Linked DNA regions of Canis lupus familiaris. The protein of the gene in region 3 interacts with the protein of the main gene of each other region in a biochemical or structural test. Links are inferred from orthologs where the notes say so. Each region holds a gene or a part of one and is shown on either strand. Other genes may lie near its edges. The genes, in order: BIK, BAD and BCL2L2.

Region 1 (4,337 bases), on a different chromosome or scaffold from region 3:
CTGAAGTTTAAACTCTGTTGGTGTTTACCAAGGATTATCTGTTGGTGGTCACAGATCCTGATCTCTCCTCTGATCCACCCTATAGCCCTGCAGGTGTAGGGTGGGGTCAGCCGTTTCAGAGATAACACGGAAGGAAAAGAGGGCATCACTGCCAGTCACTCCAGAAATGGGAAGAAGGGGCCAGGGGCCCCACCAGGTAGCAAGTGGCACAATTAGGGGGAGGGGAGCTCCCCTGGATCTGCTGTTCCTCTGCCCTCAGACACTGTGGAGCTGGACTAAGGTAAACAAGTCTTGTTGTTGTGTTCTTGGGACAGTGGTTACTTTGTAATCCCAGCCAGGCTTCTGCCTGCCTCAGCCTCCACCACACTCCCCTGCTCCACCTCAGGGATTGCCCCTACCCCCTCCCTAACCAGCCCCAGGGCTGGGGCCCACCCTACCTAGAACCTTTGTGATTCTCCTCCTCCCTAGGGGCTTTGCACCCCCGTTTCTCCCTAGGCGCAGGAACGGAAGGGCTCCTCCCTTACAGGCTGCTCCCACGAGGAAGGCTGGGATGGGGGTGCAGTGGGTGGTACAGGTGGAAGGATGGGGCGTTGGAGGAGGGGGATGCTGCTGACGCTGTTTCTGCCAAAGCTTCACTCTTGGTTTTCACGATTGTGAAATAGGCGGAAATATACCTAATTCCAGGTGGGTGCCAAGGCCGAGGGGTGAAGGAGGGAATGGGGAGGTTTAAAAATATATGTATATAGGGGATCCCTGGGTGGCTCAGCGGTTCAGCACCGCCTTTGGCCCAGGCGTGATCCTGGAGACCCAGGGTCGAGTCCCACATCGGGCTCCCGGCATGGAGCCTGCTTCTCCCTCTGCCTGTGTCTCTGCCTCTCTCTGTGTCTCTCATGAATAAGTAAATAAAGTATTTAAAATATATAAAAAATATGTATATATATATATGTATATATACATATATCTATTTTAAGTCATTTCTACATCCAAAGTAGGGTTCGAAACCATGACCAGAACAGCGAGAGTCGCGAGTCGTAGGCTCCACCCACTAAGCCAGCCGGTCGCCCCAGGAATGGGGAGTTTTTATAGTTTGTTTTCACAAGATGGAATCACAGAGATGGGAGGTGGCGACCGTTGCACATTATGCAGGCGCTGAACACCACTGAGCGGCACACTTAAAACTGGTTGATACGGTAAATCGTGTCGTGTGTATTTCACCACAATAAAGAAAATTGAGAAAAACAAAACAAAACCTAACTCCCGAAGCTGCTAGCACCGAGAGCATGACGGGGGGGGGGGGGTCCCCGCTGTCGCTGGGTCCTCTCCGACGCCCAGTTTCCACATTGGTGAAATGGCCTGGACCAAAGCCCCGGGCGGTCGGGACCCGCTCGGACGGCGAATGGGACCACCCGCCTGGAGACCCTGGCCACGGAGCGCACGGCGGCGGCGGCGGCGGCGGCGAGCCCGGGTCGGGGATCGGGCTGGGGGCGGGGAGGCGGCCGGGGGCGGGCCCGAGCGCGACCGGCGGTTTATAAGCTCGCGCGCCCGCGGCGGCCGCACACAGTCGCGTCCCGGCTCCAGCGCCCCGGACCCGCGGTGAGTCCAGGTCCCGCCGCCGCCCTGCACCCCGCGCCCTGCGCCCCGCGCCCTGCGCCCCGCGCCCCTCACCCGCTGCCCTGCGGCCCCGCTGCCCCGCTGCCCCGCGCCCCTGCACCCCGCGCCCCCGCGCCCAGCCCGGTAGATGGGCGCCCAGGGTGCCGAGCGGGGGCTGCTTAGGGACCTGTGCCCAGGTGGTTCCGTCCCGGGCCGCTGTTGGGTGTGTCACTCCCGGGACCCCCGGCTCCGAGACGCCCCCTGTCCGGCGGGGCGTCCAGGTCCCCGCCTGCGAGGGTCCCGGCCGCGGCGCCCCCGGGCCCTCCGTCCCCGCATCCGCGTAATGGGGCGCCCCCCCCCGCGCCGCCATCGGCTCCGGCTCCGGCTCCCGCCCCCGCGGGGGAGGGGGTCCCCCCGCCGAAACCGGGAAGATGGCCCCGGGGCGCCCCGAGTGGCCGCGCACCTGCGAAGGGCCGGGAGAGGCTCCGGCGCGGGCGGCGGGGGCGCCCGGAACAGGAACTGCGCGGCGAGCGGGGCGCGGCCGCCGCCCGCACCTGCCCCTGCCCCGGCCCCGGCCCCGGCTCCAGCCCCGCGCAGGTGCGCCCCGCCTCGCCCTGCAAACCCGCCGCAGCGGCCGCGGGCGCGTCCCTCCCGCGACCCCGAGGGCTCCCGCCGCCGAGCCCCGCGCCGCCGAACCCGCCGGCCGCCTGGGCGCCAAACCGCCGTGTTGCCGTGGGTCGTTGGTCGTCAGTGTAGTTTTGGCTGGAATGAGCCGCCCCGGGGGGCGCCGCTGCACATCACCCCGCCCCGCACCCACTGTGGCCCGGCCCCGATCGGGCCTGCTCCCCGAGGCTTCGCCCGCTCCCCAGGAAGGGAGGGTTGTGAGCCGCATCCTGGCCCTCTCCGGAGACTGGAGGCTTCGTTTCACAGGTGGTCAAAGTGAGACTCGCTTCCAGGAGGAGGCCGCCTAGACGCCGGCAAACCAAGAGCCCGGAGCTGTTTTCTGGGAGCGCGGCCAAAGCTCTCCACCCAGCCACTGTCCAGCTGTGTTGTCCTACAGGGGCTGCTCCCGCCTCTGGGCCTCAGTTTGCTCATTCCTTAGAATGGGTCCATGAGGTCCCCACCAGCTGTGAACACCCACTTGGTGTTGGTGGCTCTTCAGTGGCTTCCCTCAGCGCAAATGCTTTAACCTTGTGTCTGCTTCTCTTGGGCATGTTTTTGGGGTAACGTCTTGGCAGTGGCACCTTTCAGGAGTTGATTGGTGTGGTTTTTGCACTAGTTCCCTAAGTGGTCTGTCTCAGGCGATGGCTGGGCGGGGACTCCAGCCTCAGCGCTGGTTGTTGGTGCTGCCCTTGCCCACAGCTTGGCCTCTCCTCCACCCTTCCCTTCCCGCTCCAGGATTTGGGGATTTCCCACCATTTGAACCTCAAGGTCACAGGGCTGTCACTGCCGGCTTTAGCTGTGGGGTAGGGCTCTTACCAGCGTCAATGCTCTACAAATTTCTTTATGCTTGTTTTTGGTTTGAAGTGTCTAAAGCACCTGGGGAGACTGGCTTCCAGGATGTGGCTGTTCAGTCAGTGCCTCAGAATGTGCCCCCCCCCACCACAGGGGAATCCTATTTAATCAACCTTCTAAGATGGTTGCCAGGCGATTTGGGGTGGTGGTGGTGGTAGGGTGGGAACTGTGTCAGCAAGGGTGTTTCTCCAAGCCCCAGGGATCCCGTGAGGCCTAAAACAAATGGAGTGATGCACTTAGCACCGTCCCTGCGGGTGTCATCCTTCCCTGGCTCCGTTGGCTTGCTTGCCTCCTCTGAGAAGTCTTCCCTGACTACCTCCTCTATAAAGGTGCAGCCCATCCTCTGTGCAAGGAACTCATTGTACTGTTTCAGGACACTGGAGACAGATTGAAATTACCCATTTGTGCTCACTTAGCATGACGCTCGCCTGCAGCTCCATGAGGACCATAGGACCTATGTCACACTCAGCGGAGTATCCCCAGCAGGTGGCACAGCCAGGGCCCACTGGGAAGAGGCTGGACGGAGGGTTGCATGCCTGTTACATACCCCAAGTTTCACAAGGCGGTTGGCAGGTATAAAAGCTGGATTTGCTGAGCTGCAGAGAAACCAAGAGAGCAGCATTAGCCCGTTCTTTTCCTCTCCTGCTGGGCTAGGTTGTGGAAGGGGGTGCTCGGAGGATGGCTCCATCCGCTGGTTGGGTCTCCACGCTGACCTCGGAGGTATTTTCCCCTCTCCCTGGAAAGCATCCTGTTTGTAGTGGACCTATTAAGTTTGTAGACAATTAATGGTTTCTTGCTTCCCCTGCCTCGAACATAGTGGATCCCACGAGAGTCCGGCTGTTTTTTTCTCTCGGCTCAGAACAATTCCAAGAGGTTTCAAGGAAGTTGCCGGCACGCTCGGGTTTTGTTGTTGGCAGCCACCAGGAAGCCTGCAGTGGGTCCAGAGTGGACATGTGGAGCCGCTCCCTGGTCTCTTTGTCCTGCTGCTGGTTGGCCGGGGCCAGGCCCTGGGAGAAATACAGAATGTAAGCAAATGAGGCCACGGCCCCCAGTTCCTCGTTGGCATTGAGGCTGGCAGCAGAGAGGCCAGGGCTGGTGGTCAGCGCCCTGAGGCGGGCTTGGAGAGGACAGCTGATTTTCCTAGTGTCAATATTAGGATGTGACAATACAAAACACCCGCTGGGCCTTGCCGGGCACTGCATGGGTAAACCTGTTTTTCTGGAGGTGGGCGA
Region 2 (3,421 bases), on a different chromosome or scaffold from region 3:
TATTCCCAATCCTGATTTCTGAGTTAGCTGCCTGTTCTCCACTTCCACCTCACTTCTCAAAGGCTGTATGGTGTTCCTTCCTGACATCAGGCCTGGACTTGGGTGAAGCTCAGAACAGCCAGGAGCTCTGACCACTCTCTTAATCTAGACCTTTCTGAATCGAGTACTCTCTTCACATCTTAGCTTTCTTTTTTCTTTTTTTATTTCTTTTTTTTTATTTTTATTTATTTATGATAGTCACACATGGTGGGAGAGAGAGAGAGAGAGAGAGAGAGGCAGAGACATAGGCAGAGGGAGAAGCAGGCTCCATGCACCGGGAGCCCGACGTGGGATTCGATCCCGGGTCTCCAGGATCGCGCCCTGGGCCAAAGGCAGGCGCCAAACCGCTGCACCACCCAGGGATCCCCACATTTTAGCTTTCTTAGCCACGGATCTTTCTTAGCCCCTGAAAGTGACCTGTAGGGCTTTGTGTAAGGTCCTTTGGGAGAGAATGAGACACTTGTCCCCTGGCCTCAGAGCCTGGCCTAAATCCAACTTCCTCCAAAATGCCTTCCCTGACAGATGGGCTTTGCCAGGGACCCCCAGCATGTTGCCGTGTGTTTGTTCCATGCTGTCAGTCTGTCTGTCTTTTTTAAGATTGTATTTATTGTATTCATGAGCGTTACACAGAGAGAGAGAGGCAGAGACACAGGCAGAGGGAGAAGTAGGCTCCCTGCAAGGAACCTGATGTAGGACTCGATCCTGGGACTCCGGGATCACACCCTGAACCAAAGGCAGGTGCTCAGCTGCTGAGCCCATGCTGTGTTTCACGCTGTTATGTAGCTCTGGGTTCTTGCTCCTGGGAGTGGTTCTAGGTCTTTGTTGGTCTGGATTTGGGGGTGGGATTGGCAGGAGTGGAAGGATGGCACACAGTACAGAGGTCAGAACACAGGAGAGGTGACTGTGAATGACAACTTATCATGTACTTTCAACTCTCAGAGCACTTTCACATACTTCATGTGACCTCTACACAGCCACTGGTAGTAGGGGATAGGTCTCTCCCCACACAGAGGTGAGCACACTGGTTCAGAGTTGAAGGGTGGTAGCTCAATGGCTAATTACTGGACTCGGGAGTCCAAGAAACTTCTAGGGAGTTCCAGCCTGAGAGCTTCACATTGTGTGACCTTGGACAAGTCTCATTTCTCTAAGTCTCTGTCTTATCGTCTATAAAATGGAAGCAATATTAGTACTCCTTAAGATGGTTAGGAGCATAATGAGGTAATTCCGAGGGCTGGCACATAGTAAGTGCTCCATAATCATTACCTTAAAAAGTCAACAGACAGGGGCACCTGGGTGACTTAAAGTGTCACCTTTGGCTCTGATCATGTTCCCAGGGTCCTGGGATAGGGCCACATTGGGTTCTCTGCTTAACAGGGAGCCTGCTTCTCGCTCTCCCTGTTGCTCCCCCTGCTTGTGTTCTCTGTCAAATAAGTAAATAAAATATTAAGGGAAAAAAAAATTAATAGACCCTTCCAGACTCAATCTCCAAAGTGGGTGTTCTGGGAGGTACAGACATGCTGCAGACAGGTGCTTGTTCTCCAGGGACCCAAGGTCTCCCTAGGCCACAACAGTGAAATAGATGGGCCCCCCGCAGATCACTTGCCCAGCTAAGAGTTCAGCCCTGCCTGGGGCCAGAGACCTCATCCAGGGAGTGCCCCGGGGCCCTGTGGTGTTGCACTGATAATTATACTACTTATGGCCTTATTTTGTGGCAGGCACAGAGGCAGGTCATTTGATACTCTAAGGGCCTGGCCCACTGTTGGGGCTCAATTAAGATTTGTGGGATTACTGAGAAGTTAATTCGAATCTTCACAAAAGCCCCAGGAGCTTCCCTCGCTTTACATATGAAGGAACTGAACTGGGGCTCCAGGTACCCCTGAAGGTACTGTGCACACAGAGCCATCAGCGAGAGGGAGCTGCCCGGAAGGCTTTGGCAAGGCTGGGGGCGCAAAGGAGTAGAGACTCATGTCGCCCCCGTCCCCCGTGCAGGCGCTGGGGCTGAGACCCGGAGTCGCCACAGCTCGTTCCCCGCGGGGACCGACGAGGATGAAGGAATGGAGGAAGAAGAGCTCAGCCCTTTCCGGGGGCGCTCGAGCTCAGCGCCCCCCAACCTCTGCGCGGCACGGCGCTACGGCCGCGAGCTCCGCAGGATGAGCGACGAGTTCCAGGGCTCCTTCAAGGTGAGCGCCGGCCCCCAAAGCATGTCGGGAACTGTAGTTCCGGGGCCGCTCCTCTCCGTCGGCCCTGACCCTGAGTCCCAGGGCCTGCCGGTATCTGTAGTCCACACCGTGCGTCAGAACGTTAAAGGTCCCGAGTTCCCCAGATCCTCGCGGCGCGGAGCGCGCTGGCATTTGTGCTCCCGGGCAGTCCCTTTCAGATATCCGGGTTCTTTGGCTTCAACAACTTCAGAATTCCTCAGTTCTTGGACTGCCGTCCCGGCTTCCAGAGGCTGGGTCTCGGGCTCTTCCGGGGTCCTGGCGTTCTCTCCCCGCGCCCCTGGCACAGTGTGTCTGGGACCTAATCAGTCCCGTTCCTAAGGGCCCAAATGATCCTTCGAGGCTCCTCAAGTGGACAGGAGGCCCCTCGGTGCAGGGCATGCTGGGAGCTACGGTCTTTAGGTCGGCCGGCCGGCGTCTCACTTAGCGGCGGGGTCCCGGAGGAGGAGGGCTCCGACTCGCGCTGCCAGAACAAGCTAACTCATTTAACCCTTTCCTCCTCCCACCCCGAAGGGACTTCCTCGCCCGAAGAGCGCGGGGACAGCGACGCAGATGCGACAAAGCCCCAGCTGGACGCGCGTCATCCAGTCCTGGTGGGATCGGAACTTGGGGAGAGGAGGCTCCGCCCCGTCCCAGTGACCCGTCCCGCGTCCCGAAACTCTCCCCTTCTCTCGGCGCCGCCGGCGGCCATCTTGGGTGTGGGCGGAAGTCTTTCCCGCAGGCTTGATGTAAGAAAGAGGTTCAGTTCTTTCCTTCTCGAAGGAGGCGATCTGACCCAAAGCCGATCCCCTTCCGGTGTGCACCAGGAGCACGGAGGGGTTTGGCCCCGTCGGAAGTTTTGAAGTTTACGCGCCCTTGGCGGCCGGAAGTGGCCCCGTGCCCCCGCCCCGGCCCCCGCCCGGGCTGCCCCGAGCGTCTGCGCCAAGTTGCGGGGCAGGAAAACCCTAACTTCTCCAGAGCCCTTTCCTCCGCGGCGTCGCTGCGGGCTGTCACTCGCTACGAAATGTGCTAATAAAGCCCGCGTTTGTGCCGCCGAGGCTCCTCTCTCTGTCGCCTGGGGCCTCGCAACCCTGAGAGCGTCCTCGCTTTACACGTGAGGGAAACCGAGGCTCCTCCTGAGCGGCTTCTCCTGGAACCGAGCCCGGGGAGGGGTCGGGGCGGCGAGC
Region 3 (4,044 bases):
TATTTGTTGTTACTATTATTGTTACAGAAACCTTTCTTCTCCTGTGACTGTAGGGCCAGGTCGGAATATCAAGGCTTGAAGTAGAGGTAGAAGTAAAGGGAACCAGCAGGAAAGGAAAAGTGGGTTGCCGCTTTCTAGCCTTTGGCTGGAGATCCCTTCAAATGGAGCCGAAGGACGTGCCAGAGCAAGAGCCAGTGGGGCCCAGTCAGAATGCCTGAGAGAACATTCCTGAGGATCACCTGTAGACAGACTGCTTAATATTCTGTGAACTGCCCTGTATAAATATACTGCCTTGTATAAATAATAAGTATACATATATATGTGTGTGTCTATACATATAATTATATATATATTATATATATATATATGTAATCTGAAAGAGTAAACATCAACCTTGTCATTAGCAACTTCCATGAAGGGAGGTGGAATTGGGCAAGAGGTGGAAGGGGGGGGGAGATTAAGGACTCATATTTTTCCCCCTTATACCTTTATGTTGTTTGAACTTGTCATGAGAATTCATGTGTTGAGTAAAAAGAATTAGAATGAAAACCAATCTGATTACAAAACAAAAAGAAGAAAGAAAAAGAAAGAAAGAAAAAGAAAGAAAGAAAGAAAGAGAAAGAAAGAAAGAAAGAAAGAAAGAAAGAAAGAAAGAAAGAAAGAAGAAAGAAAGGAAGGTAAAGAAAAGTTACCTGCAGAAACTACTTGGCGATCCAAGTCTTGATGCCTGGCTAAAGCTTCAGCCCATGAAGAGACTACTAGATTAGAGGTCCTGGAGAGAAGAGGAAGTGAAATGTTCAGTGTCCATGTCGTGTCTGCCAGTCCCGCAAGGCAAGGAAGGCACCTGGTCAGCAGTTCCCATTCTAGTGGGAACTGCTCCCCTAATCCAGGCATCCGCTCCTGGGCAGGAAAAATTCAACAAGTGCATGGAACATCAGAGACCTTCTGGGAAATGGTGAATTTACTCCGAGGTTTCCTGAGGCCTAGCCGGCTTCTCTGGGCAGCCTTCAGTCTCAGGAGCCCAGACTGGCCCTCGGTATCCTCCCAGCCCTACTCCTCTTGGCCTCCAGCGGGCCTCTCTCTTCCGGAGTTGTGGCCCTTCCCAAGCTTGCTTCCCAGCCCCGCCCCTCTCTCTCTGGACGCATCTCTGGGCCCCATCATCACCCGGCGCCGGGCCCTCCCTCCCGCCCCCCCTTTCTCCTCCCTCCTTCCTTCCCTCCCTTCCTCCCTCTCTCCCTCCCTCCCAGCTCCTGCACCAGGAAACGGCCCGGATCCTGGCAGCGGCCTGACCCGTGAGATCCCTAACCTGGCAGGCAGGCGGGGTTGGAGACTTGCTGAGGGTGGGGGTGAAGGAGGAGCTGGGCTGTTGGACTGCACTGGGGGGGAGCCGGGAGTAGAGATGGTGAAGGCAGGAAGCCCTTGGCCCTGGGTTTCCCGGGAGGACAGTCGTTAAACATGGATTCGGCCACACAGCTGGTAGAATGTTGGGGGCAGGGGCCGGTCCAGGAAGCTGCAACCCCAGCCTTCTTAGTCCAGACTCTGATCGCTGGCCTTCCCCACCTAGCTCTGCTCTCCCCCTCCCCTTCCCAGGGCTCCACGCTGGCCAGGAGGATGAAAGGCCCCAGCTGGGGGCTCCTTGCCACCAGGGCTGGGTCCTAAGAGCTGCCATCCAGGCTAGGTGAGTGTCCCCTTTCTTTTCTGTCCCAGGCAGCCCTTTGCTTCTTCCACCTTTCCCTTCAGCCCCTGTCTCCACCCCCATTGTGTGCCTCTGCCAGCATCTTCACATCTTCCCTCTGGGGAAGTACTAGGCCCCTTCCTTTAGCCAAAAAGGTGTGTACTGTGGAAGGGGGGGGTGGTTTGCAGGGGTGTTGCAGAGCTGGTATTCTCCTATTGTGGAAAAAAATCTAAAGTATTTTAAAAATAAAATTTACTTGTTTTGCATTTAATGTGGCATATTATGAATTTAATGGCCAGCCCCTCATGCCCTGACCGCTCACCTTGACTTAACTCTTGTGTTCTTGCCCTTCCCTGCCCAGTGGTCTCTGAGCATTTCCTCCCACCTCTCTCCCTGTCTCACTGGGTTGGCCAAGCCTGAAGTACCCCTTCTGGCTCTCTGACCATATATTCATGCCAGTCTTTCATCCTTGACTCTTACAGCCGCCCGGATGGCGACCCCAGCCTCAGCCCCAGACACACGGGCTCTAGTGGCAGACTTTGTAGGCTATAAGCTGAGGCAGAAGGGTTATGTTTGTGGAGCTGGCCCTGGAGAGGGCCCAGCAGCTGATCCACTGCACCAAGCCATGCGGGCAGCTGGAGATGAGTTTGAGACCCGCTTCCGGCGCACCTTCTCTGATTTGGCAGCCCAGCTGCATGTGACCCCAGGCTCAGCCCAGCAACGCTTCACCCAGGTCTCTGACGAACTCTTCCAAGGGGGCCCCAACTGGGGCCGTCTTGTGGCCTTCTTTGTCTTTGGAGCTGCACTGTGTGCTGAGAGTGTCAACAAAGAGATGGAGCCACTTGTGGGACAAGTGCAAGAGTGGATGGTGGCCTACCTGGAGACACGGCTGGCCGACTGGATCCACAGCAGTGGGGGCTGGGTAAGAAGCTTCTCAATTGCTGCTCTGCACACCCCTCCGAAAAAGCTTGTCTCCAGAGGGAAGATGGGGGCTCTGGCTGGAGGCTAGGGGCGGAGTCGCCCTATTTGGGTGGAATCAGATGCCTTCACTATGGGTATCTCGCTAGACTCTGCACTCCAGGGCTGCCATGCAGTCATCACTGGATGGGTTCATGGTCCAAAGCAGAGGACAGACTACACAGTGCCTGCAGGGAAATGGCATCCAGCTGTCAGGAACTTTTTACACCAGAGTACGGTGACATGGGCGGTGGTGGGGATGGGGTGTCAGGGATGGGGTGGTAGTTAGGAAAGCCTTGGCAAAGGATGTCAGTTCAGAGCACAATTTTTGGCCAAGGAGAGGCTGGGATTCACTTGAGGTAGAGAGGGCAAATGAGCCAGGCGCTCATGGGGGATGATGGGGCCTTGCAGCCAGTAGAGCTTTGGCTGGCGAGGAGCTGGGTATGGGGTAGTGCTTGCAGTGGATGGAACTGGAACTCTTCCTCTCCTCTTTCCTCCACTCTTTCCTCTCCTGATCTCCCTTTCTCCTTCTTTCTCTCCTACTTCCCTTCTCTCCCACAGGCGGAGTTCACAGCTCTATACGGGGACGGGGCCCTGGAGGAGGCGCGGCGTCTGCGGGAGGGGAACTGGGCCTCAGTGAGGACAGTGCTGACGGGGGCCGTGGCACTGGGGGCCCTGGTCACCGTAGGGGCCTTTTTTGCGAGCAAGTGAGCAAGTCCGGGGCCAGGCGGGGCTAGGTGTGGCTAGGGGACAGGAGAGCAAGAACAGAACAGGAGAAATGCCCTTGGAAGAAGTGGGGTGAATGGATGGGCACGGAATGGGGATCGGAAAGGGCAGGGTACTGTGTGAAGGAGCTGTGTTTGCCAGGCAGGCAGTTGGAAGGATGAGCTGGGAGACATTAGGGAATGTATTTGGAAAGTCGGGGGCGGGGGGGCGGGCAGGAGATAAAGTCATTCCAAGGTCAGGAGGAGGTGGGAGAGATCATGTCTATAGGTGTAGGCACACAAAACTATACCTAGAACTTAGCTTGTAGCCATGAGGAAGGTCGACTTGCAGGAGGGGTTGTGTCTCCATTGGATGAGTGAGAGTGTGGGGGGGAAACAGAGGGCACATTCCTTTGAAATGGAAGCTTGAGGTTCTCTGGTGATAGAGAGAGATGGCTGTGATGGTGGGCTGCTTGGACATGTGTGTGCATGTGTACGCATGCTTGTGTGCATGCCGGGCTGCTTGTCTAACCTGTTGGTGGCTGTACTTGAGAAGAGCTCCCTGTTGGAGTGGCAGGAACAAGGGGCAGTTCTCTGCCCCTCCCCCCCACTCCCCCCCTTGTCCTGATGCCTCAAGGCTGTGGGAGAAACACTGTATCCAGTAGAGGGCTTTGGGCACTTTCTGGCAGAAAGTCATCAGCAGGCTTG

The links.
Region 1: the proteins of BCL2L2 (region 3) and BIK interact in a biophysical measurement, tested with the Homo sapiens proteins (2 studies listed by BioGRID and IntAct, with this or other methods). The link is inferred for Canis lupus familiaris from reciprocal best matches to the Homo sapiens genes BCL2L2 and BIK.
Region 2: the proteins of BCL2L2 (region 3) and BAD interact in a biophysical measurement, tested with the Homo sapiens proteins (4 studies listed by BioGRID and IntAct, with this or other methods). The link is inferred for Canis lupus familiaris from reciprocal best matches to the Homo sapiens genes BCL2L2 and BAD.

Annotation. Positions count from the first base shown.
Region 1 is NC_049231.1:23,388,829-23,393,165, reverse strand, and holds the start of BIK (bcl-2-interacting killer), read left to right. Parts: upstream 1-1,513; 5' UTR 1,514-1,593; intron 1,594-4,337.
Region 2 is NC_049239.1:53,295,994-53,299,414, forward strand, and holds the end of BAD (bcl2-associated agonist of cell death), read left to right. Parts: intron 1-2,028; coding exon 2,029-2,219; intron 2,220-2,768; coding exon 2,769-2,894; 3' UTR 2,895-2,908; downstream 2,909-3,421. UniProt on the Homo sapiens protein: Promotes cell death. Successfully competes for the binding to Bcl-X(L), Bcl-2 and Bcl-W, thereby affecting the level of heterodimerization of these proteins with BAX. Can reverse the death repressor activity of Bcl-X(L), but not that of Bcl-2.
Region 3 is NC_049229.1:3,690,790-3,694,833, forward strand, and holds BCL2L2 (bcl-2-like protein 2), read left to right. Parts: upstream 1-1,240; 5' UTR 1,241-1,313; intron 1,314-1,590; 5' UTR 1,591-1,678; intron 1,679-2,157; 5' UTR 2,158-2,165; coding exon 2,166-2,597; intron 2,598-3,193; coding exon 3,194-3,343; 3' UTR 3,344-3,702; downstream 3,703-4,044. UniProt on the Homo sapiens protein: Promotes cell survival. Blocks dexamethasone-induced apoptosis. Mediates survival of postmitotic Sertoli cells by suppressing death-promoting activity of BAX.